Linked DNA regions of Alligator mississippiensis. The protein of the gene in region 1 purifies or fractionates together with the protein of each later gene. This does not show direct contact. Links are inferred from orthologs where the notes say so. Each region holds a gene or a part of one and is shown on either strand. Other genes may lie near its edges.

Evidence for each region.
Region 2: the proteins of HNF1A (region 1) and PCBD2 purify together in Homo sapiens (affinity purification with mass spectrometry; 4 studies listed by BioGRID and IntAct, with this or other methods). This does not show direct contact. The link is inferred for Alligator mississippiensis from reciprocal best matches to the Homo sapiens genes HNF1A and PCBD2.

The regions. Positions count from the first base shown.
Region 1 is NC_081833.1:20,598,221-20,613,967, forward strand, and holds the start of HNF1A (hepatocyte nuclear factor 1-alpha), read right to left. Parts: upstream 7,943-15,747; 5' UTR 7,679-7,942; coding exon 7,344-7,678; intron 6,198-7,343; exon of another isoform or gene 5,630-6,197; intron 3,580-5,629; exon of another isoform or gene 2,980-3,579; intron 2,958-2,979; exon of another isoform or gene 2,917-2,957; coding exon of another isoform or gene 2,873-2,916; intron 1,091-2,872; coding exon 891-1,090; intron 1-890. UniProt on the Homo sapiens protein: Transcriptional activator that regulates the tissue specific expression of multiple genes, especially in pancreatic islet cells and in liver. Binds to the inverted palindrome 5'-GTTAATNATTAAC-3'.
Region 2 is NC_081832.1:70,579,648-70,594,732, reverse strand, and holds the start of PCBD2 (pterin-4-alpha-carbinolamine dehydratase 2), read right to left. Parts: upstream 6,130-15,085; 5' UTR 6,037-6,129; coding exon 5,962-6,036; intron 5,432-5,961; exon of another isoform or gene 5,330-5,431; intron 1,359-5,329; coding exon 1,227-1,358; coding exon of another isoform or gene 1,213-1,226; intron 757-1,212; coding exon of another isoform or gene 710-756; intron 1-709. Other genes in the region: TXNDC15 (thioredoxin domain-containing protein 15), read right to left, coding at 8,376-8,572, 9,526-9,656, 9,752-9,915, 12,117-12,494.

The DNA.
Region 1 (15,747 bases):
GCACAAATGGGCCAAAGGCTTTTTAGGTTGGTAGTTTTTTCTGTAACATTCTCTCACCTGGAACCCAGCTGATCTGTCTTTGGTCCACGTCTGCTAATATGGAACAAAAACCAAAGCAGAATCTAGACAAGACTGCTCTGTAATTTATTAAAATGGATCTGGTAATCCCCAGTGGAGCCATATATACTTGGCCCTGATGTTAGACACATTGCATCTGTATTCCTAACATGAAGCAGTGAAAGAAATCAAAACAGCAGGAGCTTGGACTGAATCCAGCTGATGTAGAGTGCAGCCCTCTAAGACCAGCCATCAGTCAAATTAGTAATTTTATTAGGGACCCATAAATATGATTGAAACAGATTCCAGATAGGCTCATTAATATGGAAGTGCAAGCTGCAAAGTCCTTAGTTCCAAGCATGCATTTGTAATATACCTGCTTAGCATGTGTGAGATGATATTCCACTAATGGCTGGCTCCAGTGACTACAGCAGTCTATTGCTTACTTGTAGCTAGAGGAATTATTTAATTAGATTAAATTTCAGAGGCCTGCTTTTGAGGCTGAAGGTCCTGGATTCTGTCACTGCTCATTCCCAACTTCTGCCTGTGTTTCTTACACAATACTCCATTGTGAGCGAGCAGAGGCCTCTGCTTGGACAAAGAAGTAGAGTTGCAAGTGGAAGCCTATAATCTGCCTCTGTATGAAAAGCAAAGGGTGGCTGCATGCTGTTTTGGGGGTTTCTGCCACCACTCAATTGGTCACCCCACTGAACACTGACATGGACTTGTCTAAACTTCCTGCTGGAAAGCACTCCTTCCACCTCAGAGCTGGGGATAGTTGTGGGAGATGTATGAGACTAGAACTTAGAGAAACCTGTTATTGCTGTACTTACGCTGGGCCACCTCTCGCTGCTTGCGGACATACCAGGTGTAGAGGGCTGCTCTCTTCTGTGTCTTCATGGGTGTGCCCTTGTTGAGGTGCTGTGAGAGGTGGGACTGGTTCAAACCTGTGGTGTCTACCACCTCCCTCTGAGGAATGTTATGCTGTTGGAGGTAGGATTTCACCATCTTTGCTACCCTCCAGGGATCCTCTCTAGGAAGAAGAGAAAATGCATCTCAGAAAAAATCTTTTGGCTGTGTATCCAGGCTCAGCAGAAAGGATTCAAGAATATCAGCCAGGACTTATCTCTGCCTACAAGAAGAGTGGACACCAGAAGCAGTGAGAACAATTAATCTTCTCCTTACCCCAAGTTGGACAGATTTGCTGTGCTGGATAATGGCACCTTTGCATTCCCAAGGAAATCTCTTCCTCAAGCGGACACACTGTACTGCTTTGACCCAGTCTCAAAACTAAATTATGTGCTTGCTTAAACATTTTACAAAGTATTGTTAATAGCTCTGGAGAAGATGTAGCAGGAGAGCTGAGGTCTGAAGGCTGGGCAGCAGCACAGCTCTAGCTGCCTTGTTGACTCAGTGGGTTGCCAGAGGCTGCGAAGTGATAAAGAGGACAAAGTCCAAATCTGTTACCTCAGTACAAACACCCTTATCTCTGTTCCTGCTTTACCCTCTTCCACAACAGGTGGACAGTCCAAGGAGCAAGCTCAGCTGCAGTCGGTGCAGTGGGAGGCTGATGGGCAACTTTCTGAAAAAGTTTATTTTAAAATGGGACCACTCATCCCTCTCATAAAGGGTGGGTGAGAGCTGTATTAGGGTGTTCCACTTTTCACCATCTTCCCTGTGCCCCAAATTGGACTGACTCCAATAGCTATTTCCTTTCTGAGCTTTAAGCAAGTGGTGTATCAGTTCCTGAGACAAGAATTAATCTCCCTTTAGGTACTGCTTGTTTCAGTGAACCTATCCAGCAACTGTGCTCTGATACTTGCCTTCTCTAAATGCATACCCAGCCCCTACTCAGAGGCTCAGGGTCCTGAATGAGAAGATACTCAGGCTTGAGACTTGTGGCTTCTTTCAAAGTATGCTTCCGATTCAGCTAGAGAAGAAGAGGGGACCTTATTATCACCCATAGAAACCTCTGTAAGAAATTGATTTCCTTCTCATCTTCCAGCTGTAAGATGCCAAGTTCTCTCTCTCTCTCTCTCTCTCACTAGGATATTTAGTGCTATATGGTAGGAAGAAAGGTGGAGGTACTTGTGAGCCTGATCCTCTAATCCTGTTTTAAAACTCTACTGTATAGTTTCAAGCACTATGCACTGCCAGTGTTGAGAGTGTTTTTGAAGGTGTGTCTGCTCTTCAAATACACCTGGATTGGGGAATCTCTTTACAGCCTGGGTAACCTAACATGTGGTAAAGGGTGGTGAAGTATGAATGAAGCCTTGACTGTGTTCCTGTAACAAAGACTGTAATTGCAGTGTTAGATGGACATTATGATCCTATATAGTAGAGTAGGCTGTGTTTCTAGGGCAGTTGAATATTCACTTGACATCACAGCACCACCTGTAGAACCATTGACCAAAATACTATAGCATGATGGTTTCTAGGACTGTCTGGATAAATATTTGCCTGTGAACAGACTTCATGTCCCAAAAGGTCCTTTCCAGTCTTCTGTTCCTATTCAATCCTTGCCCCACTGTAGTCAGTGTCAAAACTCCTGTGGTCTCTAGCAGGAGGGTAGGATTCCACTCCCAGCCTTATCTTGCTGAACTGATTTGGCAAAGGTCCCAATGCCTTTAGGGAGCTGGGACTGTAAAATTGGGCTGGCCTTGCTCAGTTCCTGACCACTTCTCACTTCCAAAGTCTCCTCTTTGTCTTCAACTTCTCTTCTTTCCAAGTACAAAATTTCACCTATTTCTTTCCCATTCTACAGCCTCTTCCTCCATATTCTTCTTGTCCTCACATAATATAGACTTTTACTCACTCTTCATTTCCTATGTTCTGGTCTCCTGCCTTTGGCTTCTCCATATCCTCTGAACACACACTCCCTTGCCCCTCTTGGTATCTGGGGCCTAGGCCTGGTCTCCATTCCAGCTTCCCATTTCCTCAGTTCTGAGGTCACTTTTAAAGGGCGTTTTCACCTCCCTTTTGTTACCTGAACAATAAGTAACCCAGGTAGTTAGTTATAAACTCAAAGGGAACAAGAGGCTGGTTGATAATTTATAGCAACATCTCAAATTTAAATGGAAAGTAAATATCAAGTTGTTAGCATTAAAGAAAACCCATTCCAGAGAGCTGGGGATGTAACATTCAGGGGACCTTCTCTCTTTGTTCTTCCTGGGTTTTCTTCCCAAACTCTCTCTATTCTTTTCCTTCTCATCTCTCTCCTCCTCATTTTCCAGGTTGTTTTCTTTCCATTCCTTCCTTCCCCTGTTCTCTACCATCTCCCAGGGCAATGTGTTTTGTTTCGCTTTTTTTTTCCAGATTCCCTTTATTGGCAGAAAAAGCCCTAAGTTCTTGGAGTTAGGTTTTGACCTTCTCCTTCTTTGAGCTGGGACTTAGTTAAAGGTGTGTTTAGAGGTTTGAAATGCTTGGGGCAATCTCTCTGGCGCTTTCCTTTGGAGGCTACTAGAAACCTATCACTGATGTCAATGCACAGACTGGACCTGGGATGGCCAGAGAGCAGGGAAGGTAAGACTGTCCCCAGCAGGGTTCTTTTCTGTTGAATGTGGCCTGGTTTGACTCATTCTGGCTTATACAACCATATAATTAAATGGAAGGGTGTGTGGTAGCTTCATCTCTGGACCCTCAGCTATGGCTGCCCCCAGCAAGTAGCTGTCTGGGGGAAGGGCAGGGCCATTAGCTCTTGGACAATGCCCCTTTAGAAAATGTGCCCTCACCCTTGGCTTTGGTGGAAATGTGCTTGCAGTCTCCATTTCCTGCTTTCCCAATGGAATTTTACCCTTTGTTTTCTTGGCAAATGATTCCTATGCCTCCTTCCAGAGTACAGCAGCCCTTACCCTGACCCCGCACTCCTTATCATATGTTGGCAGTAAACCCCTCTGCTGTGGAAGTCTGCTCTTTTCCTTGTTATGCTCCCAAAGCCAGTCTGTATTCTCTCATTTCCCCCTGAAATATCTGATAAGTGCCCCCAGGAATTACTTTACTCCTTAACACACCCCAGTCCTGTTCCGTTCTGGAGGGTCCCTGGGAGGAATTTTCAAAAGCCCAAAAGTGCTAAGGTTTGCAAGTCCCATGGATAAAATCAATGAGACTCCTCCATCTAAATCCTATTCCTCATCTCTTCTCTTTGGGCTTCACAGTATGGGGGAGGGGAGGGGAGACTCTTAATTTCTTACTAATGACACCTCCTTTTGTGCATGATCAGTATATTCTGTAGGGACAACATGAAACGGACTCCACTGAGTGCACTTAAGGCTGTTTTAAGGGAGTGAGGGCAATCTATATGATTTACCTATATCCTGTATTTACTGAGCATAATCAGTGATCTACATTGACAGTTTGGGAACCACTAAGTGGTTCACAGAGTACATATTAAAGGTCTACAAAGAAATGTTTGGTCACATGCTGTGGTCTCTTCTTGTTTCCAGCTTCTAAAGTGTATCAAAAGTGTAGAATAATGAACCCAAGGTTGTCTTTCCATGTAACCAATTGTTACAGATCTTAAAGTAAGTGGTTGTGACCATAGTTACAAAAGATGTTCATGAGACAATTTCTGTATTATAAAGTTGCTGACAGTGTTAGTCCCAGAATTGCTGGTATGGCACAAGGTGGAATTTGCACTTTGGAGTGCTCGCTTTGGCCGCTAGATTTGAACAAAACAGAATCTTACCACCATGATTTTGGAAGGGAAACTCCCCCCGGCCCCCCCCCCCCCCAAAAAAAACAACAAAAAAACCCTCTATTGAGTGATGTCCCAGCTCGTAGAAAGGAATTTCTGTAATATACCATTTTGCACTAGGTGTAATTGTATATAATGGTATTCTAAGGACAACCTCCTTAGGTTATCTTCTATCACAAAATAGTTCCTTTGCTAAAGGGGGGGGGGGGGTTTATTGTTGTCTGCTGCTTCCCCACTGTCAGTCCCTGATATTGACCCAGGTGCATTGAATTTGCTTCCCCAATAAAACAATTGTTTTTTAAAACATTGAACACAAAGACAGAAATCACATTTCCTATCAGAACAATCTCTCCACTACCCCATTTCAGAGGTACTTCTAGTGGCTTTGGTTTAATATGTTCCATGAAGACCCTACCTGCCTTTTTTGTAGTCTGGGTCCTAAGCATTGCTTTAATACAGTCCTGAATGCATGATAGAAATATAATTTTGACCTCTTTCTTACAACATTTATGGCTAAGGGAAATTTATTTTTGCTGAGTTTTTGTAAGGAGATCAGTGGTAAGACACAAACAGAATGAGGCTCCAGGAGATCCTGGTTCTGTTCTTAATCCTGCTACTAATTTTCAACATGGCCTTGGGCATGTCACTTTGCTTTTCTGTGCCTCAGTGTCCTCACCTGTAAAATGGGAATGCCATTCAAATCATGGTCTACAAAGAGCTTGAAATCCTGAGTTGGAAAGTACTTAAGAAGTGAAGAGCATCATTATAAATGCATAGCATAGGAATAAGCGGCCTGCTGAAATTGACAACAAAATGTAAGAGATCAGAAATCAGAGTTTATGCCAAGGTGAACCATGATCAGTTCCCAGATCAAGGGCAGGAATTCCTTCCAGGTGCAAGATTCTCTGTACCAGAGCACAGTGGACAGAGTCCCACCCCTGCTTCATCCATTTATTAGAGAGAAGACAAAGCCAAGTACTCTTCCATGGCTTCCTTTCTGGAGAGACACCCGATAAATCATCAGAAGTTAATGATCAAAAAGCTTATCAGGGTCTTTTTGTTTATAAATTTATAAGACAAAAGAGAAATAATAAAGGCACTGGATAATTAGTAACTAGTCAGGGCCCGCCCGGTGCAACTGGAGCTCAAACTGCCCCAAGATCTCTACGCATACTCGGGAAGAAGGAGGCAGGGGTGAGACGGAGTGAGCAAGATGTGTGGAACAGAAAGAGCTGGATAGGCAGACACAGAAACAGTGGGGCTAGACAGAAGTGGGGATGAGAGAGAGCAAAAGAAGGAAAGAAGAGAGAGGAGTAGGACAGGGAAGATGGAAACAGCTGGGGCTTGTAACAAAGAAAGAGGGGTATGAAAAGTAGTGGCAGAGGAAGGTGAGAGGCTCCTTGGGTAGGTAAGAAGATTTAATTGTGTGGAACATTTTCCTCTCCAGGTAAGAGCTGTTCCAATTTTTTTTTTCCATCAGGCACTTTAATGTGATCTGCTCTAAATCTTCCCAGACTCTCTAGAGCTCAAGCAATGAACGTATGCCCTCTTAAATATTAATCCTTACTCTTACTCTTCTGTTTTGCTACCTATGGGCTTTTGCTGGGGTTTTGTGTTTGTTTTTCATTGTTGCATTTTTAATTGTATTTCCTTTTCCCATAGAGAGGAATGGACAAAAAGCCTCTCAGCCCTCCAGACTAATTTTAGCTTGCCTCAGAAAGATTCTAAATGGCAAATTGAGTCTCTGGGACCTTGCAGCTACCCAGTGTCTCCTGCCTGACCCTAACCTCAGAATGTGAGGTTTTGTGGTTGAGTTTCTTGATGTTAGATAGATTGATAGAGAGAATTCCTCATACTTTTTGCCTAATATGATGGTATATTAAGGCAAGTTTGTGCAACAGTAGAGCTTGTAGATGGCATCCCTGTGTATATTTAGTATACATGTTGGGAAATGGAGACACTGAGCATGCTTACCAGGGCTGACAACTATTAGAGTGTAGCTGGTCTGCCCTCCATCTACACCCAAATCCCCAGTGAAGTCAGGGGACATATGGTCTGCACAAAGACACCCGGATCAAGCCCTATTGGTTTGTCTTTGTTGGCAAACCTGACTGTACCAAAGTCAGTAAAGAAAAATATGTACAACTTTGTAAAAATCTCAGGAAAAACTTAGAAGATTTCTCCTCCTGCAGTGCAGATTCTCAGACTATTGTGATGGCAATTCATGCCTTGTCTAGATTTGTGTGGACTTGTCCTGTTTTTTTTCTTGGTGGCAGACACTGTGAATTCTATAAAATCTCATAGCCAAAGAAGCAGAAGCTCTACAGGTCTCTGATTGTTCTGAAGTCCTTTTTTCCCAGACAGTATTAGAACTTTTCATGTGTAACTGGGTTTTGGTCCTGTGCTTGAAATGAGATCAGAAGAAAAGTTTGAACATCAATAAAAGACGGTGAACTTGGTAGGTGAGTTTTGGCAGTGATAGGGACAATCTCTGCACACCCCGATCAACCCTGAATGCTAATATACTGCATGGAAGAAGTGAGGAAAACAGAAATGGAGGGAGAGAGGAAGAGAAGAAAAATGGTGTCCTTACTGTAATAGTCTCTCCACCACAGCCTTCTGGTGAGCAGCCTCTTCTGGACTTAGGTTTTCCAGCTCCTTCATTATCGGAGGAGTGAATTCCTCCCCATCATCAGAGGTTTCCTCCTCGGATAACCTGGACTCTCCCATCCCATTAGGGAGATTGGGAATTTCAGCACAGGGTTCTCCTTTTTCTCCCTGGATGGCACTGATGGCGCGCTGGCTTTCACTCTGGAGCGGATAGGGATCTACTTCACCCAGTGCTTTGATCAGAGTCTCCTTGGTAAGTCCTGACTCCAGCAGTGCTCCCAGCAACTCCACCTGAAGATGGCTCAGTTTTGCAACCATGGTCTTCAGTCTGATGCCTCTTGAATTTGAGTTTCAACTCGTTCTGCCTCCGGCTATCCCAACACCATATTCCTGAGGTAGCACGCCTGACTGTCAGCGGAGTGGAATGGCATAGCCTCCCGCCTTTACACCCCCCAAAAAAACAAAATACAAAAATGAGCCGCTTCAGACCCCCCACGACTGTCCTGAGCCAGTGCTGATAAAGGGACCCTTGGCTATCTGTTTACATTGGAGCAATGTAAATTCTCCAAGGTTCATATTTATCCGTGTGCTTAGCAAGTTACTGAACTTTGGACTTCAGCCTTGCAGCAGCAGTTCACAAAGTGCAGAGAGCGCAAGTTAGGGGGAGGGGGAAAGGCAGGGAGGCAGATGGGAAAAGGAGAGTAAAAGGAATGGACAGAGGAACAGCCAGGATAGGAGACCGCGATAAAAGAGGGGAATTGGAAAGTGAGAGCGCGAAAGTGTGGCTGGTTCTTGGCTGTGATGTTTTAAGAGCAGAGATAGACAGCAGGGGCTGGAAGTAAGTTTGTAGCGTCTCCACTCCAGAAAGGAAGGCTACTGCTGTTGAATGTGCAGACCCCGACCCGGAACATTTGGTGTTAGCTCTACCAGGTGCTACCTGCCTCAGAATGTTGGCATAGTCCCTTCCAAAAGCTTTGGGTTGGGAGCCTCAGGAGCTCTGCACAACCCCCATGAGTACAACCACTGGATTGATTCTAATGTTCCCAAGGTCTCCACTATTCTCTACAGACTCCAACTGGCTTCAGCAGGATAGGATCACTTGATTGCCTGTCGCCTAAGCGACATTGCATTTGCTCCCGTCACTGGCTCTGATTTGCTGAAATAGCTCGGTCTGCACTTACCTGTTCCCTTTTCTTGCCATTGCAACTTACTGCTTTAGTTACTGATTTGGTTAGCTGCTAACAGCATGCTCAGATCATGGGGCCTACCCTGTTGGACCTACAATCTAAGCAGGCGGAAAAAAAACAAACGCACAAGTGCTAGACTGGGTGTTGGCGCATTGTAAAGATTCCTGCCCTACCCGTGATTGCTCCTCCTCTCTTTGCAAGTGCTGCCCACAGTAGCTCCATTTGCCATCACTCTAGTTCCACCCCCACTGATACTACGTTACCCAGCCTTAGGGTTGTATTCGCACTTGTTGGATGACTTCTGTGAAAGAGATGATCTAGCACATCCAGGGTAATGGGCTGGATGCAGTGCAAACTTTCTGGTTTGCATAATGCAGGAGACTGGACTAGATGGTCTCTTCTGTCCTTCAAATATGTGACTCAAGGCACAAAGTAAATAATCTACTCATGAAAGTCTGATTTTCCACCATAGACTTTGTAGCTTGTAGAGACTTAAGCTAGACTGTGTGATTCTTCCTAGTGGGATCAGAAACAGGAGGATTTTAACCACAGTGATTTAGTGAGAGGATTTTCCTAGCTCCCCCAGTTTGTTTACTTTTCTACACTCCCACCTGAGCTCCAACCTGAGGAAAGCTGGATGGAGCAGGGAGCCTAAATACAGGCCAAAGGCAGTACTGCAGAGTAACCTTTGGCACTTCCTTCTCTTTGGGAGCTGCATAGTCTGTGCTCAGCAGCACTCCTGTCCTGTGCCAAGCCTCCAGATGATGGATCAAGCTTCTTCTCAAGTAGGACTGCATAGCAAGCCACAGTTACATCCTTAGGGAAGACTTTCAGCAAGGATTTCCGCTAACTGTTTGGCCTCACTTCATAGGCATATCTTCCCTTTGGCAGGCTAGAAAAGTGAACACAGTTAATGTAGGGTTCCAGAACACTGCCTCAGCATGGTCAAAGGGACAGCAACCAGGAGTCTGCATTTTTTTCCAGGAATACCAGGAGCCTGGTACTCAAATGTAACCTTTGGACAATGTTTATTCTGTTGAATTACAATCCCCAACTGTAATGTACATTTTCTGTATTCTGTACTACTTTACTTCTAGGATCTTTGTGCAGACAGAATAAACATTTTGCACCCAGAGTTGGTGTACCAGGCATAAACACCAAACCTCTTACTGTTGTTTATTCCTGTAAGGTTTCCTTTATTTTAATGCTTTTTGTTTTCTTCAGCTTAAAGCAAAATACATATTTACATACCATAGATTGGATAACATCTATATAAAGTTCACACTGAGCAAACAACTGTGGGTGGAAAATTGTAAAGGAAAACACTGAAAATGTCAGTTTGGCCATTAAAAGCAATTAAATATATTTAAAAAAGTGACAGTACTGATGTGGAGTCTTGGAGTAACAATGCCTAGTTTCTCTTTGCATGTGCAAAATTATAACCCTAATATTAAGAAGGACTCTTTCAGATTCAGAGTTTTCTTCCTTGTGCTACATCTCAGAAAATTTAAGGTTTGCCAATTTGTTTTTGGCAGAAATATAAAATGAGCTAACAACACTAATTAATTGGCCTGTTTTACCCAGCTTCACTGCCTGATTCATTCACATTAGAAAGATGTTGAAGAATATTATTATTTTCTTTTCAACAATGGTAATCATGGAAATCTTTTATTGCTTGTGGGTTTTGAAAATACTTATTTTATATAACCTGTTTTGGACTAACATTGACCTTCCATTGCCATTTTTTTATAGAATGAGTATTGCAAATATAATAGTTTAACTTTCAGGCTTTTATGCACTAGCAGTGTTGAAATGTCTGGGTTAAAGTCATGGCAGGGAAAGACTTAAACTTTAGTGTCTTTGTTTAAAAATAATTTATATCAATATTAGATTGAGGACTATTTTATTTAAACTCATCCAAAATCTGAATTCTGGACCTATTTTATATCAATTACATAGAAGAGGTATGATATGATGGAACTGAGGCAGGGAAGGCCTTGGTATGAAATGCACAATCTTGTAACTACCCAAAGCAGTGCTAGAATCTTTCTCCTCAGTACATTTTACTATGCTATGTGGGATCATTCTCTATTTAAGTGTCATTCTTACTAAAGTCAGAAACTCTCCATATTGTGTATTCAGGAAACACAGTAGTAAGTCAGACAGGTTTCAAATCTCTCTTCCCAATAGCTTTGTTATGACATGGCCAGATCAAAGAAGCCCAAGTTCCATTCCTTAGCATGTGGTTAACTGTAGGGAGTTCCAAATTTTTAAAAGATGAATTGATATGTAACATGCTTTAGCTGTCTTAATTTTTGGCTCTCTATAAGTATTTTACAAACATTGATGAATGAAGTGTCATTGCTTCATACAGTAGCGAAGCCACTGAATTGTAAAGCACCAGATAACTTTTTTATTTCCAGAACACAAAGCTCTTTATGATGGTAGCTAAGCATTCTATAGAAACCAAGGCACAGAGAGGTTAAGTGACATAACCAGAGTCAAATAGAAAAACAGCTGATCCAATAACAGAGCCCAGATATCCCATACCCCTTTCCCATGAGACCATCTTCCTTTCTCCCTCCCAGGCAGTTTGGTAACTTGATTAATTTCAGATGCTAAAAAACATTGGAATGGGTACTAATCATATTAAGACAATTGCTATTGAGATCATGCTGGGGCTTGAAATCTTGTATGTCACTGTTCAATAACCTTCTTCACTGATGCTTGGAGCAGAGCTAGTGAGCTATAAAGGGAGAAGCATTTAGTCATTCAGGGATCTGGATTTTCCATTTGCTATGGAAAAATGCAGATTTTCTCTTTGAATGGAACAAAATGGGGCTTTTCTTTTTAAAGGAGAAAATCATGGATTTTTGCCTTTAAAGTCAAATATGCAGGAAATGGTGGGTTTCCCCTTGCAGGCTTGCAGATTTCCAGCTCACAAGGGCTATGGGAGGAGGGCAGCCAGGCAGGGGGCACCACATGCATTTTTTTTTTTTTTTTTTTTTGTAAAAATATTTGTCTCTATATATATAAAGTTATATATATATTTACACTCTACCTATTACATCACAAAATGGTTAAACGTTTCCCATTACAGAAATCTGCACCTGCACACCTGTACAAAGGCCTGCTGGTCACCCGTACCTGTTACAATATCCACAAATGAGTGCAACACACACACAAAAAATCAGTCCCTTCTGGTCCCTCCCTTTCCTTCATTTCCACCCTTGCCCCACTTCCCGGGTCACATACTCAGTTCAAGTGGTCTCTCTGTCTTTGTTGCTCCAGTTTCTACTAGAGGACCCGCTGCTGCTGCTGCTGTTGCTGTCCTCTGTTCCACTTGTTTGTTCCATATGCTCATGCACCTGGTAGCCAGGCAGGGTGGTGGAGAGCTGCTCCCACAGCTCCCTCCAGGTAAGTCCCTGGGCAGTGAGGTGTGGGGGGGGCCCAGGCCACACATTAGGTAAAGTGGGGAAGGGGGCCAAGGCACATGTTGGGTGAGGGGGAAAGGGGCCCAGGCTATATGTTAGCAGGGTGGAGGGGGCAGTGCCCTCCAAGACTTCTGTGCCCACGGAGGGGCTTGTGGATCAGCTCTGGCCAGGAGCTGTCTCTGTGGCCCAGTTGGGGACCTCAGGGTGGGAGGGATAACTGTGCTGCCAAGCTGAGGTGCTCCCTGCCCACCTGGCAGCAGCAGGGGGCACAACTCTACACTAATACCACTGCTGCTGCCCCTGCCATGCCTACTCATCATGGTGCACTGGGTCCCTCTGCTGGGCCACAGAGATGGCTCCTGCCTAGAGACAGTCTGGCCCTGCTGTAGCCCCATGTCCTGTTGTGGGTGCAGAAATCTTGGGGGGTATGTGCCCCCCCCGGTCACCTGTGCCTTCCCACACATTCCCCACACAGCTATTCTCTTGTTCACACACTTGGAGTGAGGAAACAGCGGGTCAGAAGTGAGGGGCACCAACCGGGGTGGGGGGCTATGGGTCAGGAGTAAAGGACACTGACGGTGGGTTGAGAGTAGGGAGCACCAGCAGGGCTAAGGGGTTATGAGTCAGGAGTGAGGGGCACCGACAGGGCTAGAGGGCTGTGGGTTGGGAGTGAGGGGCACCAGCAGAGCTAGGGCATTATGGTTTGGGAGTGAGGGGCAACAGCATATCAGGGCTGCTCAAGGCCACAAAGCAGCAGGGGGTGCAATTGTATTCAATTGATACCTCTGTGTGTGTGTGTGTGTGTAGTGTTTAATTTTAATTGTGGAAAAACACAGATTTTGGGTTTTTAAGTCAGAAAATTTGGGGTTTTTTTCTTTTACCAGAGAATTTATGTTTTTAAACAGAGAAAATCAGGATCTCTGGCATTAGTCACAAGAGCAAGTGTCACTGTGATGTAGATTATTTGTGCATGGGACAGCAAAGGAATAAAATGCAAACAACATTTTGGGGCACCTCCCCCTCTTCCCCATGCCCCACCTGTCCCCAACTCTCCTGTTAAAAAATTAAGTTGCACTGAGCTACTACCCTGGAAGGAAGTTGTGTGCATGGAGAAATTTAAACGCTTCCAGGATAGATCCCAGACAGCATAATTTTGGGATACAAGTTACCCATTTCCCAAGGACTGACTGATACAGTTACCACAGTTGTATTCACTGGTTTGATTTAGGTGGAAAATACTGTAGTGAGTAGCACCTCTTGTTAGGCTTTACATGTGCAGCATGTAAAGGAGTAGGACCAGACTGCTGACAAGGTAGCTCTAAGAGCAGGAGGAGACCAGCCATCACCATTTTAGCTGCTGTCATCTGACCCTACTCAGAGACACTAAAAATATAATTTAGCCACAAACTTTAATTAAAGTAATTTTTTAGATGTTTCTCTTCATTTTGAAGCATCCATGCTGAAAACTGACATGTTCCTATTTTCCTTAGAGGACAAGTCTGATCATGCAGAATGGGCCCAGGGAATGCTGGTCCAATTCAAACATGGGACCAAACAGGATCCTTTCACAGTTGATGCAAGATAAATGTTATATTTTTGTGGAGTGGGGGGATTCATTCTACAGTGACCAAACCCAGTCTGTTTTTTAACAGATTTTACCTTTCAGAGGTTTAAAACATTTTCTGCTTTCCCAGGTGTCCATCTGAGGTGTACATTCATTCCCAGGATGTGCTTTATATCTTTATACTGTGAAAAGGTTGTAATGAGGCGTCTTGGGCTCCTGCTACTATAAGGAAAGAGAGAAACTGCAGCTGATAAGAAGAGTCCAGGCGGCAGAATATAGACCAACTACAAGAGAGAAGGCAGCAGAGAAACACTGCTGTCTGGTCAGGGAGTTGCCCATTAAAGGAAGGGCCACACCTGCAGCTGGGCAGGAGAACTCTTCCTAGATTGAGTTAGCTACAAGGGAGTAAACAGCTGAAGACAAAGGGTTATGATGCCTATTGCAGAGCTAGCTGCTCTGCAATAGGACAGTAGGGCAGAGCCAAGCCTGGGCAGCAGGGATGCTGCCAGAACAGCGGTTGTGAGCTGCCATGGAGACCAGCTGTCAGGCCCCTGGTCAGAAGGGGCAGGGTGTAGACTATATCAGACCAGAGTCTGAGCCAGAAGGGAAGTCTGAGCCACAGAGAGATGAGCTTCTGGTCAGGAAGACTGCAGGAAGATGCCTGGCTGATTCTTGAACTACCTTGGGGACTGCCAGTAAGACACTGATGACTTAGAGAAATGCAGCCCAGGGTAAGGGGAAGCTTTGTTCTATACACAGCATCTGGAGCAGATTTAATTTATGTTATGGCCAGAGGGCTTGTTTGTTCATTGTAGTTAGACCACTGGTTTGAGTTGGCCTCTTGGGGGAGGCATGGATGTCCCAGTGGTACCTGAGTGGTACAGGTGTGTTGCAAGCCTGGAAAAAGGCAGAGGGAGGGCCAGAGGGCCCAGCACAGAGTCAAAGTAGGCACAAAAAGAGCTGAAGTCCAGAAGTTGGGTCCAGCACAGCAGACCCTGGCTGGATGGCCCAGTGAGAGAAACAGGGCAAAGGCCGGAAAGGCCAAGGCCCCAAGACAGGAAGATTGCCTAGATAGCAACACCTGCGAGGCATAGCCACAGCTATAGTGGAGGCTGGAGGCTACGAATAGCCTTAAGGCTCTTGCTGCCCACAGGGCAAGGTCAGTCCAAGAGGCCCCACTTAACGTGAGGGCAGGGTCAAGACTGATGGGGTCCGGGAGGGACCTGCTAGCTGCCAGAGGAACTGTGGCATCCTCTAGGACCCATTAGGCAGCCACTCTTTACATCAAATATGTACATCAACGTGTGGCAGGAAAGTGAGAAGGTGGGGGTAGCCTAGAGGTGGAGCAGAGCAAGGGTTGTGTGGTCACTGGGGGATGTTATGGCTACCCCTAGAACTCCAGCTTGCTACAGGGGTTACTTTGCATTTGATTATGAATTATTCTAGTTGATCATAGTTAAGCTGCTTTAGCACTTCTGTCACATAAATTAAGTGCCTTTTATGATAGCATGATAAATCTCATTCCTTTTAGTTTGCTGTTCTGTGGAGTGGAGTGTAATGATTTAACTGTTCCAGCCAGTGTATAGAATTATCTTCTGTATTATGTAGTAACCTAAATTTAATGAAGTACTTTGAACAGAAATACTATTCAGAAAGTGTTTGCCTTTTTCTGAACTCCACACTACACTTAGACTAAGTTGAATTTCACCATTGCTTTTTGTGGAGAGGCTGCTTTTGGAAAAGACCAGCTGACATCTCGACTCACTACAGAAAAATGCCAGTAAAGATAATAAATTACCTTTGTTTTAAACCACAGGATGAAGCTTCCCTGTGCTCTAAGAAGAAAAGTACCAGCTGATACTGGCCCCTTTGCAACCTCTAGACATGGAAACTGCTACAATTACTGTAGCCAAAGGCCAGTCAGAGCCAGCAGATTCCAGAGACTAGGAAACAAAAGATTAACATCTATTAATTTTAGGAACATCACAGATGCTGGAGCTGGACATGGTATGGAAATTGATGAGTTAAATATAGAGACCTCTGTTATGCTGTTAAGGATGCAAAGGTCCTGTGTGTGTGTGCACTGAAGGATTTTTTTTTCCTTTGGTTAATCAGAGGTGTGTTTTTTAACCCTGGGGAGTAAACATTCATCAGTATAAAAACAACTAAAAGTTCTTTACTAGCATAACCCTGTAAAGCAAA
Region 2 (15,085 bases), on another chromosome or scaffold:
GGGGCACCTAACAGGCTATTCTGCTCCACACTGCTCCCAGTCTTAGGCTTAATGTACTCTATTACATATATATTCTGAATCCCCACCCTGGTACATTAATTTCTCCAAATTGCAGCTTTATGAATAGCTAACTTTTACCCTGTAACATTCTGAGGATAAATCCTATAAAAAAAAAGTCTATAATTTAATCCCTTCTGGTGTCCTTCACTGATCTAATAGGGTGGCTTTTCCAGATTTCTGTTGTTGGACTGTGTGTGTTCCAGTCTCTCTGGTCCATATTTTTTCAGGTCTGTTCCTTAAAGCTGTCTGATTGAAATGATTTATTTAAACTTACTTACAGTCTACAAAGGCTATTTTATACTAACTTTAATAAAAGCACTCCCACTTGTGCTCAGCCAACAGGCTCTCTAATTACACTGGGGTCTGAAATGCTCCAAACACAAATACTCAGACTTCGAAACCTGCAGCACAGCTTGTCCCTGAGCCGATGTCTCGCTGCCTTTGGCTCTCTAGTTCTCCCACCCTTCCCCGGAAGCTCATCGAGGTCTCACGTGCACTCTGGCCTGGTTTTTTTCCCTCCTTTGTTGCCCCATAGTTTGCTTGGTCTGAAGCTGTTTTGCTCCATTATTAACTTTCAGACTGAAAGTGCAACTCAGGAAAAATGGAGTCATGTCTTCATGCACACACCCTTATGGCAGTGCTGCCTTACCTGTTCTGTATGACATGGAATGATGCTGCCAGTTTCCTTTGTGTCCCCTTTATGACAAAAAGTATTTGAAACAAAACAAAAAATTAGCTAGCATTGCACACCATCATTGTCACATTTCACCACCAAGGTCCCTTACAGACTTGTGTCTGGATTATACCATAGCCACAGAACTAAACAGCATGCTAGGCAGCCCTTCAAAGTTACTGTCAACAAACATAAATAGATACCTTATGCTAAAAGTCCAGTAGGCACAACCCAGCATCCTCAGGCGTTGTGGCGGAGAAGAAAAAGAGCATCTTGCTAGAAACAAGTCACTTTTGCAAAAATATCCCCCTCCCCTGGGAAAGGGGAAGTCTTTCAAAAATAAAATAGGCATTGGCAATAATCTTCATCTAAACTATTCCTATTGATAAAGGATTTTTCTTCAAGCAAACACTCCCAAGTTCGTGGATATGAATATTTCCCCACTAAGATCATAATGCAAAGCAAAACAATCAATTTACCTTTGAATAGTTACCTGATTAAAATTTTTGAAATTGAACTCTTTGTAGATGGCATCTCTTTCACCTAACTCAGACCATCCCGAAGATTTGAGGTCAAGTAAAACTTGATTCCTTTCCTCTGTGGTCAGCCAGTGTGACTGCGAAGACTATCAAGGGGGAAAGAAAAGAAATTCCAGAACCAAGGTTAATGTCATCTCTTTTCCTTATACAATACAAAAAAACAAACATGTGCTTAAATTGTGGCTATGCATTATAGAAATGTAATCCTTCAGGCTACCAGCAGCAGAAAATTTATTATAGGGCTTCCTTGCACTTTATAGTTGTATAGAATAGCATAACTCCCCAGGTAATGGAGTCAAGAAACCTACCTGTTTGGTAAATTCAGTTATCTACTCAGACCTAACTCTGAGACAGCGCTTTACTCTAGCACTGTGATAAAGTATGCACTACTGATCACAGGCATACGTGTGATAGGTAGCATGATTTAGTCTCATGTGTACTTGGCCTATGAGAATTATGCGCAGGATGTAAAGCTTGAAATAATTCCTGACAACTCAGTTCTGATATTTTCTCTCATTTAAATACTAAGCTAAATTAAATTTACAAAAAACATGAAACTGAATGAAAGTTAGCAAGCATAAATCAATTTTAAATTAGAAAGCACAAAGGCAACCAGAACCTGCCATGTATTATCAGCATTGTATCTTACAGTTCCTAAGAAGCCCAAAAAGAATTAAAAAATTAGGAAGAAAAGAATTTAAACTAATTGTTTTTAAAAAGATTTCTCCCAAATAAAATATACCCCATTGTATCTCAAATCTGCACTAAAAACTCCACTGATAGTACTGACAAGTTCTGCATTAGGGTAAGTGCTCTCACACCACTATAAATCTAGAGTAGCTAAATTAAACAGGGTTACCTGTTTTCAGAAAAAGTCTCATATTTGGAAATGTACTTGAGCACATTTAACTTTGAGCTAATGAGAAGTCCTATTGAAGCCAATGAGACTACCCAGATGCTTAATGCATTCATATTAGAAACCTGAGTTTCTTGCTAATACAAATCCTAAGTTACCATGAGGTTAGAATCAGACCTGAAGGATAGCTGACTGTTTTAAATGTTTCCTAACTTTCTTCATAAAAATATAAAATACCCTGCCTTCCAGAAGGTCTGAGCTATTAATGTGATACTATACTTGATCCAAAGACACCCAAGCCTCTGTTTCTGACCCCTGGTTCGTCCTAAACTCATATTAGAAACATAATGGTAGATCGGGGAGAAACTCCCAGTTATAAACTTCAAGTGGCCTTTATGCTGTCATATTATTAAAACAACATAATTTTGTGAAAAATTACTAACATTAGATGAAATATTTTTGATCATACATTGCAAGAGAACATTTATGTTGGGAGAGCCACACAAATATGTGTGTATGTGTGTGTGTGTGCGCGTGTGTGTGCATTTGCACAACTATTTATTTTGACAATTTTAAAATGTGCAGTAATAACACTCTGGCAATGCCAGCCTACGTAGACTTCAGTTGCTCTGATCTCGCACTGAATTTGCGACTCATTTGGCAAAGCTGATAGGTAAAACCAATAAACAATGTTTTGCAAATTCAGTCCAATACATACATGTGTATGCCGTATGTTGGTTCAGGTATAAAAAGTTAGCTCTTCACCACTAGATGGTGCTATATATTAAATCAGAACAAAAAGTAATTCAATTAATTCTGGTTAAGAAACAAAAGAGGTTTAAAGCCTGCTCTTTATTACTAAATGATCTTATGACAGAAAACTACAATAAATATGTGCATCACTTAAAAAAGACACAGATATAGGTATAGGCATCAACGCAGCACCTGCTATTTAACTCCACGCAGAAAAACATTTTAACTGACAGCAAGGGAACAAGAGCAGTTTAATCAGTTGTACTAACTAGATCTATATGTAGAACTATTTTGATTTGGTTAGATTTGTCCTTTTTTTAAACAGAGCAGTTTTAAATACCAAAAAAATAATGTTTCAATTTAATTTTGTCTCTCCAATCTGTTTCCTCTGCTTTAATATAAAAATTAAATGTCCCAGTATCGTATTAGTGCTGCCATAGCAACTTTTCTGGATTAGAATGTATTTTATACCTGATTTTAAAACACACATAAATGTACTCAAAAGTTAGTCTTTGGCCTGAAATTAGCCATGCATGTCCTCCCCCAAGAGGAGCTTGAGAAAGTTCTGTTCAGTGGTTTTCAAAGCAACAAACCACAAAACGGGGATCTGGGGGTACAATGGAGTTCGCCCTCTGTTGTTGTTGAGGAAATTGTCATTCTTAAACCAGTTAAGACATGTCAGTTGCTTTCTTGCGGCCTGATCTAAACCCCACTGAAGTCAAAGAGTCTATCCAATGACTTCAGATTAGCCCCTTGGTATTCAGGTTTAAAAAAAAAGCCCTAGATTTTTGTTAGCCACAAACTTGGTCCTCACTGAGCAATACCACATTTGACACTGAATAAAGTTTGTTTATAAATAATAGTTGTAAAGGCCACGTTCTGTAGATGTGCATGCCAACACAAAACTGCCACTGACTGAAGAAGTTCAGCAGAAAAAGCATATGCAGCATACATTAACCTATTTTTAAAGCAAAAGAGAGAAGCACAAGGCTCCAGGCACACACACCTGTCATATCAATGGAGCACAGCTCAACCTCACTGAAAATGTGGAAAAGTTCACCAAAAACAAACACAGCATGGACACTAAACTGTAAATATAAGACTTGGCCTACAAAATGATGACAAGTGACCCATGATTTACTGATTACGTAAGATGGGCCCTGAAGCTATTAATAAATAGCAGCAGATTTATTTGAAAGCAGTCTAAGGAAGGTAGAGAGGGATCCGAGTTAAAAGCATTCACCTCCTGTAACAGACTCATATATTACAAAAAAATTTTTTGTGGGTGTGGAGAGAGTTAAGGTCTCATCTTGCATATATGATTATCTACTCCTTGATATAAAAATCAGAATTGCTATGCTCTACAAAACCTGAACTGCCAGGTACTTTTGCCTCCTGGGAGAACAGAACAGGGACCCAAGCTGAGACGTACAAGTTAAACAGCCAACTCAAAGACTGATCGCTTGAGATGCCTGTTCAGGGCCCACGTGATACCCGCACTGATATCCACTTGGGGTTTACTACTCTGCCAAATACACTCCCAATGTATTTTTCAAGGCAGCATCTTGAAGAGGACTCTGCATTCAAATAAGCATTTTGGGATCGAGGGGATGGAACAGCCGGCTTGGGTGTGAAGGGCACCTGTGCAAAGGATAACAGGGAAAAGGCTAAGTCTGTTCAGTAAACTTACTTTCCTGGTTGACAAGGTTTCTTTGAGTGAATCCAATCTCTTTTATTAGACCAACTGAAATAGTTGGAAAAGTTTTTCTTAGCAAGCTTTTAGGTTTAGAAACCCTTCGCCAGGCTGAGGAAGCATCTGTAGATGGTGTGTGCTCTTGCAAGCGACACCAGCTCCTCAACCAGAAGCAACGTGGCCAGCTCCACGTGCAGCCTCGGGCATCTCCCTGCTTCCAGGCGAGGAGACGGCCTATCCGGGAAGTTCCCCACGCAACCAAAGCTGGGCGCAGCCAGAACACTTCCTCTTGTGAAGTTTCCTCATGAAAATCAAACTCAGGCATGGTTTGCTCAGAATGAGGCTGGCTCATGAAAAGCAAGCTCGGGCAACTCGCCCAAGAGGCCGATGCTTACTTCTTTAGAGCCATCCAGTGCAAGGCTGCCAATACAACTGAAACTGCCCATGCCCCGGGGAGGCCGGTCCCGACGGACAGGAACCCCAACGCAAAGTGAAGCAAGGGAGAAGCGACTCCATGTGTGCTTTTATAGCGGGTAAGTGTAAAGCTGCATAATGAGATAACAGTCCCAACGGACTGCCTTGTGCAAACACGAGCGACCTGCACCTATCGCACACGTGCACGGCAACCCTTCCTCTCTTCTGCACCTAACCGGACCGTAGGTGTAAGCGATTCAGCCTGGGAGCTCTCCGCGTTTCAAGGCTGCGAGGAGGGGTTGGGGGTGTCTGAGAGAGAGAGGGGCTTCCCCATCACGCACCTACGCCTCCTTCGATCCCTCGGAAAACGCCAGCGCTTAGCGTTCAGTCGTTTCTTGACCGTGAAAAATAATAGCGCCATTCTTCAGTTGCAGAGATGTGAAAGACCCGAACAGGTCAGGATGGTTTTGACACCACCGGTTTCCCTCGCTTTATGCTGCACGCGCGTGCCTGGAAAGCGGGCGTCACTTGAACTTGTGCGAAGGGAACCCGCTTTACAATGTCAAGGACAGGGCAAGGCCTCGACTGCACGGCCCCATGGACAGGACCGTTTTGGGCTCACCGAGAGCACCAGCGCGCACGCGCAGACACCGCCCGCCCTCACGGGGAGGCGACCACAGGACACCGAGCGAGGTGCGGGGCGCCCCGCTCCCACAATGCACCGCGCCGGGCACCTGACGGCACGCTGCCACCGCACCGCACCGCACCGCCGCGTGACGGCGCGCGCAGCCACTGTGGGGGATAGAAAGGGCCGTCGCGTGAGGGCGACTCGGCCCATGCAGAGCCCGCGCGGCTTCCTCTGGCAGCCCCCGGTGCTCGAGACCCGCCTGGAAATCTGTGACATGGGCCCTGGGGCGGACATCTCCCCTCACATGCGCCTCGACCGCCCCGGCCCGGTCCCGCCCGCGCTCACCATGGCAGCCCGGCTCCCGCGGCCCCGTCCCGCCGCCAGCAGCGCCCGGCGCAGCGCGAACCCCACGCCCGGCATCCCGGCGCGACCACGCGCGGACAGCGCGGGGGGGAACGGGCCCAGCTAGGGCCTGCGCTGCCGGGAGTGGGAGCCGCGTTCCCCCCCCCGCCGCGCCACGGGGGTGGAATGGTACTGGCCGAACCACGCCCACAGCCTGTGAAGGAGTGGTACGGCCCCGCCCCCCTGCCTGGGAGTGGTAGCGGCCCGCCCCCCCGGCTCGGCCAATAGGATGCGCGCGGGTGCCGGGGAAGCCGGAAGTCGGAAAGGGCGTGCGCTAGGGGCCGCCACGTGGGAGGGGCACCGCGGCTGCCGGTCTGATGCTGCGGCCTGACAGCTGTCCGGGCGGGTGCAGCGCGGAACCACCTGCCGCCGCTCAGGACCTGCAAGCAGAGCCCAACCCAGGCTTTATCCCAGCTGGTGCAGCACGGAACCACCCTCCCTCGCTCAGGAGCACCGAGAAGCACAGGGGCTGCAAGCAGAGTCCCACGCAGGCTTTATTCCAGGGGTGCCTAACCCGCCCAGACGAGTGACGCACAGCACACTGGGCTGACGGAACCCTTCCCCCCCCTCCCCCCACCGTCGGCTGCAGCCAACACCTGCACCCCAGCTTGTTCCCACCACCACAGCCAAGTACCAGCAATGCCAGCATCTTCCCGTGGTGCTGCTGGGGCTCCAACGCCACAGGTCTCACCGGGCCAGAGTCCCCCACCAAAGTTGCAGGCTCTGCAGGCTGGAGGTTTGCCACCCCTTATAAAGGAATAGTGCAAAGGCAACTGAAAATGTGTTAAGCCTGCCCCCTGCACACTGCAGGTCCTTTGTGCCATTCCAGCCCACCTTGATGAGGGGGGTGACTAAGGACACATTGCTGATTGCTTAGGACAAATAAATGACAAGACAGAGACAGGAGTAAAGGTCAGAGGTTCAGAACAAGTGCACTGAGAGGGATCACTGGGTGAAGCCCGCTGGGCAGTGCCCACTGGCCCTCCAACAGGTAGACACTACCCAGTGAAACTCTGCCCAGAGATGTAAACAGACTAAATACTGAGGCAAGGTAGACCTATGGTCTGACCTGGTAGATCACAATTCTTATGCTTTTATTATTAAATCCTTACCTGATGTAAAACAGCATTGCTCCGAAGTCAATATAGCTACACAGATCTACTTCAGTTGGAAAACTAACCAAGTATCATCATTCACGTAGGAAAAAATGGCTCTGTAGAAGCTTCTGTGCAAAACTGCCAATTCTGTCATAGATTCAGTTATTTTAGCTCAGACACATCCCATTTCAGCTCTCTTTAAAACCCGTACAGAAGGAGTATTAATTGAACTCTCCATAACTATAAGGAAATTCATACTGGCAATATCAAGCTTCATGAGAGGCAACACAAGTTATGGTTATCCATCTTCTCTCCTAGCTTCATTTCAGCCTTTTATCATAAACGTCTGCTGTACATAATAGCTATTCTCAGGCAGACAAGTAGAGAACATGCAACAAACCATATCTTACTCTAGATCCTCATTTAATATGGTAGGTCATAGCAACAATAAACTAATCCCCTATTTACCTGAGGCTTTCCAACTAAGATAAAAAACAAACGCTTGTGGAAATGTAAATACATCTCATGATTAGTCCTGCTAAGTTTAGGTGAGAAGCTATATTTCAAAGATTGCATGCCAGCCAGAACGAATGATTTTAGTCGCGTGTAAATTCTTTTCTACAAAAACAAGCAGTTAGGACATTTAATACAGGTAAATATAATATAATCCTTAGAGCAAAATGGCAGATCCTTACAGACAATAGTAAGCCCACAATAGTAAATAATACCTAGCTTCAGGGCCAAATATAACACATGACCACCTGCTCTCCCTGGCTGCACAATGAAGTTTAAGGTGTTTACTGCTGCTAAGCTTCACCAACTGGTCCTCCCCACCCACACCCCATCACACACACACCCACACCCCAACACACTCTCTCTCTCTCTACCTCTCTCAAACAGTCCTTCCTAAAGGTACTATGACAGTATCAAATGGAGGAATAATTACTCTTAAATGTTATATTATTCATCCAGCTTTAAACATATTAAATTTATCATTTTTTCCTTGTAGGTAGCAAGAAAGGAACTACACAAGCTTAACAAATACACTCTTCTCCTGAACCTCCATTTGTTTATTTATTGCACCAATAATTACCACCCGTTTCTGACATCTGCACACCCAGTAATTGGCTAAAACATCTGTTCTGTTAATCAATGAAATTATAATGAACAAATTCACAGTGTCAATATATTTCAACTGATTTCTTGCTTTATCCACAGGCACAAAGTAGTGCCCTCATTTCATTCTGAGAACTCAAGAACTTAATCCTGATGCTCCTGTTCTTGTCCTGGTATCAACCACCGAATGCTCTCAGTCCGAATGGTGGCATACATAATAAAACTAGCCAGAAACAGTAAGGAAAATAAAAGTAGCCAATCTACTCCTTTTGTCAGAATGCTCGGTAGGGGGCCCTCTCGGTCTTCCTCAGTCACCACCACATCAGGTTTAGCTTCTATTCCTGAAAGAACAAGAAAAAAGGATCCACTGATTAATATCAATAGTATTAGCCAAGTTTAAATCTTATGATGAGTTAGCTGGAGGTGGACTGTATTCAGATTCCCAAATATGCTGCTGGATTTAACACAGTTCTAGTCGATATAGCCACGGGACCCTTAGCAAGGGTCAAAGATCCTCCACCCTCCTTTAATAAGTAACTATCGGTCTGTCATACTAGTGCATCATCCTCCACATTCAGAAGGGCAACGTGTCTTAGAAAAAGAGAAGCCTTATCCCAGTGAGATCAGAGCCCAGGCAGGCACTTCCCAACAACAGATCAGAAGGCAATATTTTACAGTTAGAGTGGCCAAAATCTGGAACCAACTTCCCAGGGAAGTGGTCCTTGCCCCTACCTTGGGCAAATTCAAGAGGAGGTTGGATGATCACCTGTCTGGGGTCTTGTGAACCCAGCATTCATTCCTGCCTGTGTCAGGGGGTCAGGCTAGATGATCTGTTCAGGTCCCTCCTGACCCTAGCTACTATGAAACTATGAAATGGGAAAAGGGCCAAAGGCCCATTGTTCTCATCCTCCTACTGCCCCCAACACAAGAACTGAGACCAATGTGTGCCTAACCTCCTGCCTATCAGGGAAAGGACCCTAAGACATCTGTCTCTCTCCCCTCCTGGGCATAGTAACTAAAATAAGGATACTCCTAATGTGTGTCCACTTTTATTCCCAATAAATTCAGGGCTTTGATGGATAAAGGTGCTTACTCTCTACTCAAATTCTCCAGCTGACTCCCACCCACAATAGCCCCGACCAGAACTGCTTTTGACAGACAGGCTCCTAGCTTCTGCCCCTCCCTGAAATCACCCTCACGGTAAGAAGAAATTTCCTAAGACATTTTCATGGATCCCCTAATACAATTTCAGTCTGGGGCTACAGCTGACCCTCACCCTCACAGCTCTACATACCTGTTTGATTAAAAATAAATGCCTTCAATGTTTCCAGGGTCCGATCCGTATGATTAAATCTGGCCATAGGTTTAGCTCCTTGGAAAAGAAGGATATTAGGAACCGCCACAGTTCCAAATCGGGTTGATAAACTGAAGGAAAGAAATAGGTAACAATAGGTAGTATTTACTTCCTGAGAAAACCAGAGTTTTCATCCTCTTTTGATTCAGACTCTAGATGAAGCTACCTGCTATGCTGAGATGCATCCAGTGCCACAAAACGAAGAGTTGGAAATGCTCGAGGCAAAGAATTAAAATGAGGAGCCAGGTTGGCGGAGAAACGACACCAAGGAGTGTAGAACAGGACCATTGTACAGTCACTGCTGTTTGGATTTAAAAACTCCATCAGGTCCTACGAGAGGAGAAGAAGAAAGCAGATTAGAAAAAAGAAGGGCCAGTTAAATGTGAAACAGGACTTTATTCTCCATCAGTGCATAATCTAGTAACATTCAGGAGGATGAGGCAATACCACCAGGAGCAAGTTTGAACAGGCTTTTCAGTAGCATTTTAATGATTCCAATTAACAGAATGTGGTCCCCTTTCTTTTAACCCTATTTCTCAGTTAGGAATCTCCTTGGAAACCAAGTAATACTTTGGGGTTATCATTATAAAACAAATGCAATAGTTATTTTCCTTGCTCTCTTCCCTAAAGGGCTGTGCTTGCTGGCTTTTGATAACAAACCAAATTTTGTTCATCAAAGTGGGGCTCAGCTACCTCTTGCCTTCTCCAGAAGGGGAAATCCAGGCCCTGGCATGGACAGGGAGCTAATGTTGGAGAGGAAAAGGAAGTGGAGTTGTTGGTATTATAGACAAATGGGAGAAGAAACAACCAAAAGGAAAAGCTCCAAGATGACAAAAGCCTGTGCAATGCAGGGCAAGTAAAAGAGCCAGAAGATAAAGGGGAAGTTTGAGGACAGAGCAGAACAGGGAGGTGTTCACTGGAGAATCACAGAGCAATGCAGAAGGCAAGCAGGCTGGGAGTAAAGAAGGAGGTACTTGGTAAACCAAAGTAAACCTTCCACCCAGGAAGAGCACACACCAACTGCGGATGCTTCCTCAGACTGACAAAGGGTTTTTAAAACGGAACTTGCTAAGAAAAAACATTCCAACTATTTAAGTTGTGTTAATAAAAGAGATCAAATTCACCCAAAGAACCTTGTCTACCTTGGTAAACCAAAGGCATTCAAATGAACTGGTTCATGTTCTCTTCCAAGTCCATCCCATGCCCTCGCATTTGGGGTAATAAAATGTGAATGAAACAAACCCTAACGAGTTCTACCACTTTTGGGGTGGGCTGAGGGTTTAACATCCCAAATATTTAACAAGTTTGTTAGCACTCATCCTTGTGATAAAAAGGGAACAATTCCTCCTGTAACCTCCTGGGAACAGGAACAGCTTAAGGAGATACTCCCATGATGAAAAGCTTTTTGCCGGGTTGCTTCAGAGATGTCCTACACTCATGCTTAGTGTTTCAAATTCCACTGATATTTTAGTAGAGCTTTTCAGAAACAAATCCATCATTCGTATTTCAACCACTGCCACAGCTAACACTTTAACATTACAAATCTCTTTTAACTTTAAAGTTTTAAGGAAGCCGGGGGGGGGGGGGGGGGGGGGGGGGGCAGAAAAGCTGGAAGGAATGGAAACGTCACACATTTGGGTCAAGCAATCAGAGCTTGTGGACAGAGGTGATATCTTTTATTAGACCAACAAGATATTTGCAAAAAAGATGCCTTTAACTTGGCTTTCAGGCATGAACACCCTTTGTCAGGCATCAGAGAAAAGACTGTAAAAGTTCTCCTGAGTAGAAATGAAGGAACGAATGAATGACAGACGAGGTGCTCTGGGTGAATCCGATCTCTTTTATTAGACCAACTTAAATAGTTGGGGGAAAAAAAATTCTTAGCAAGCTTTTGGGGTTTTTTTTAAAGAATTTCTTAGCAAGTTTCTTAACCTGGCAAGTTAAATAGTTTCTTAGCAAGCTTTCGGCTAAGAAAACGTTTTTCCAACTATTGAAATTGTTCTAATAAAAGAGATCGGATTCACCCAAAGAGCCTTGTCTGCTCACGTCCTTAGACCAACCTTGCTACAATCTACACCCCTGAACGAGCGAACGGACACTGGCGACGCGCAGGGGGTGCGCCACCCGCGAGACCGGAAGTGCCAGTGGAAACGCACTTCTGGTTTCGCCGCTGGAGGACCCCCCACCCAGACCTGGGGGGGGACCAGTCGTCCACGTGAATGAATGAATAAATTTCTACTCACGACGACTCCTACAACCTTTTCTCCAATGCCTGATGAAGGGTGTCCGTGCCCAAACGCTTGCAGTTAGAGACTTTTTTTGTCAAAATCTTGTTGCTCTAATACAAGAGATCACCTCTACTACGAGTCCCCACTGCTTTTTCCTGTAGCCCAACACGGCTACCGCCCGCATCCCCAACACACTGGGGTGGAGCGCTACACGCAGCCCGCGGGGCCAGTCTCAACCGGGGCCTGGAGACCCTCTCACGGGTGCCCCCCCAAGAGGGGCGGGGCGGGAGCCCCGCGGCCCACCTGGGAGACGTTGAGGACGTGCAGCGCGGAGCCCCGCGGGCCGGGGCCGCTGCGCTCCTCGCAGGCCACCTTGGGCGCCCGGCCGCCGTCCGTGCCATTGGCGTCGTCGGCGGCGGCGGGCGGCGGCAGCACGGTCTCCAGCACCACGACGGGCTCGGGCTCGGGCTCGGGCAGCGGCGGGCGCTCTCCGGCCTCGCACGGCGCCTCCGCGTCGCAGGTGTCGGCGGGGAGCAGCGAGAGCAGCGCGGGGGCCGCGGCGCCGCCCAGCATCGCGTCCGCCATCTCCGCCGTCTTGTAGCGCGGCGGCTCCTCCGCCGCCGCCGCCGCCGCCAGCAGCAGCCGCAGCGCCGAGCTCAGCCAGGCCGCCCACAGCAGCATCGTCGCGGCCTGGTCTCCACGGACAACCGCCGCTTCCGGGGCAGCGCGCTCGCTTCCGCTTCCGGGGCGCGACCCCGCACGGGCTGCGGTCAACGGTTCTTGCCGCCATCTTGGGTCCGGGCGGAAGAGTGTAGGCCCCCGAGTGGGCCGCGCAGCCGCACTCGCCCCCTTGAAGCACACCCCCCCACCCTTCCCCCCCCCCGGGCTATGGGGCCAAAAGGGAGGAGCAGCCGCAGCCCAGTGCCATGGACCACCTGGGCCAGCAAGGCCATCCAGCCCAAGGACACGTCCGTGGGGCAGGACGAGCACCTGGGCCCCAGCGCAACCTGCTCCACCGTGCGGGAACCGTGACCGACTACTTCAACCTGCTGCCGAACATTAATTTGATTATTTTTTTTACAACCTTTTGTCATCATTATTGTCAGTCATCTTCACGTCATGGTCGACGCATCGTTGCCTGTTCCAGCATCTGAAGCTTTCATCCATCTGGTTTCTTCTCTCGCAGACCGTCACGGAGGCCTCAGCTGCCGCCCTGGAGGACCGGACCAGAGCCCCTTCAGCCGCCGTTTTGCACAGCTCGCTGGAGACCTTCGTGGCACTGGAACGACGTAGCGAACCTTACGAGACGCACCGTCTCGGCAACGCTGAATCTTGAGCGAAGTGTTTACCCGACGGCCCGTCACCGTTATGTTGCTATGAATTGCGTGTAGGCCGACAGATCTGGCCTCAGGGATAAGAGATTTAACTGCCATAGACAAGTTTCTCGTAGCGCTCGGTGGGTCCTCCCGACACGCCAGCCGAGACGGATGGCCAAGCTTCGTCCCCTAGCTCTGGAAGGAGAGTCACAACCGACGAGCCCAAGCCCAGGCAGGGCACCGGTCTCTGAACTGAATGGACACTCAAGTGCTCCAGCATTTCGCTCCTCCTTGACTTAAGTGACTTCCCGCTCGGCTTTCCGGCGTCTCAGGATCACTGCCATCCGCTACCGATTCTCCACCCCCATTGTAGGAAGCCTGCATACCACTCGGGGCCAAGCCTCCCACTAGGCACCAGGCCACGTAGAGGTCAGACACAGCAATGCTAAGAGAAAAAAAAATGCCTAAATAACTTCAAGGTCTAATAAGGAAAAATGTTTCCAGCTACAGATTACATTGTGACCCTATAGTCAAAGCATTATACACCACAAGATTTGCAATGCAGGAGTTTTACGATTGGGTCCCATGAAATAGCAGGCCACGAAGGCTGAGGGCGGGGAAGAAAAGTAAACCCTATTCCTTAGAGCAGTGGTTTTCAATCTTCTTTTCATTTGTGGACCCCTAAAAAATTTCGACTGGAGGCGCAGGCCCCTTTGACTTGCAAGCGTGGGTATTCACATACTTTTGATTGATCATGGTCAACTTTTCCAGACCCCTTAGACAGTCTGCATGCCCCCAGGGGTCCATGGACCACAGGTTGAAAACCACTGTCTCAGAGCTGTCAGATACAACTGAGCTGTGCTAGTCGTTGTCACAGTCTTGAAGACTTCGGTATAAACTAGAAGGTTTTCTAAGGGAGTGCTGTGACATCTCCAAAAAGTGTCCCTTTTAAAGACCCCCGGCCTGGGCTTGGCCTGCAGACCACAGCAGCTCCACTTACCATGCTCGTATACACCATTCCAGCCAGCAGGTGGCAGACTCCACATAGAACTAGGAGTCAATCTTCTTACTCGAATATAGTGTTTTTATTATCACAATACTTTGGAGACTTCTCCGATTAATCCTCTCGGGCATCGGAGAAACAGGTCACATTAACCCCATTTTACAGATGGGGGAAAAAGCAAGGCAAATTACTTACCTTGGGGCTGTACAACTGAGGTGGTCTTGGGCTCAGGCTGTGGCTAAGGGGAACTTTTGATTCCTGCAAGCATTCTCTCATAAACCAAATCAGAAGACTACTTAAATAACATGCACACACCTCGTTATTTTAGTTGAACTTTCACTAAGATCTCACCTGTTGTAAATTAAGTGCAAGGGGCCATTTCAGAACGTACAGAATTCTTTTGTAAACTAATGTTATTTTAATTTAAACACATGATGGCCTTAAACTCTTATAAACACATGCTGCACAGAGAAGCATACTGGTCTATAATCTGTAGGTCTAAGTATTATTGCCTTAAGATAACTGGGCACAGGCATGCTAGGAGTATTGTTTCTAAACAGGGACTAGACGTGAATCACTTTCTGGGAGCGTCTACACAAGACACTACTGCGCAGTGGTTACTGTGCTTGTATTGAGTACTTGCATAATCAAGTACTAAATAAACATGCAGTAACTGGAGTTACTGCGCAGTAGTGCCGGCAAATGCCTTTTAAGTGACACTACTGCACAGTAGCCTAATAATACTGCGCAGTAGCATATTAGCAATGTTAGTATTGTGACACGCTACTGAACAATATTATTCAGCTACTGCAGTTAGCATCTCATGTACATGCGCCCTCTTTGAAGCAAAGTCATCTTTGTCACATCCATACACGATGTTAAATGAATGTTGTATAGGTGACCTTGGGAGATCCCTTCTGGCCCTGCTTCCCTATATTTGTAATTTTCATTTC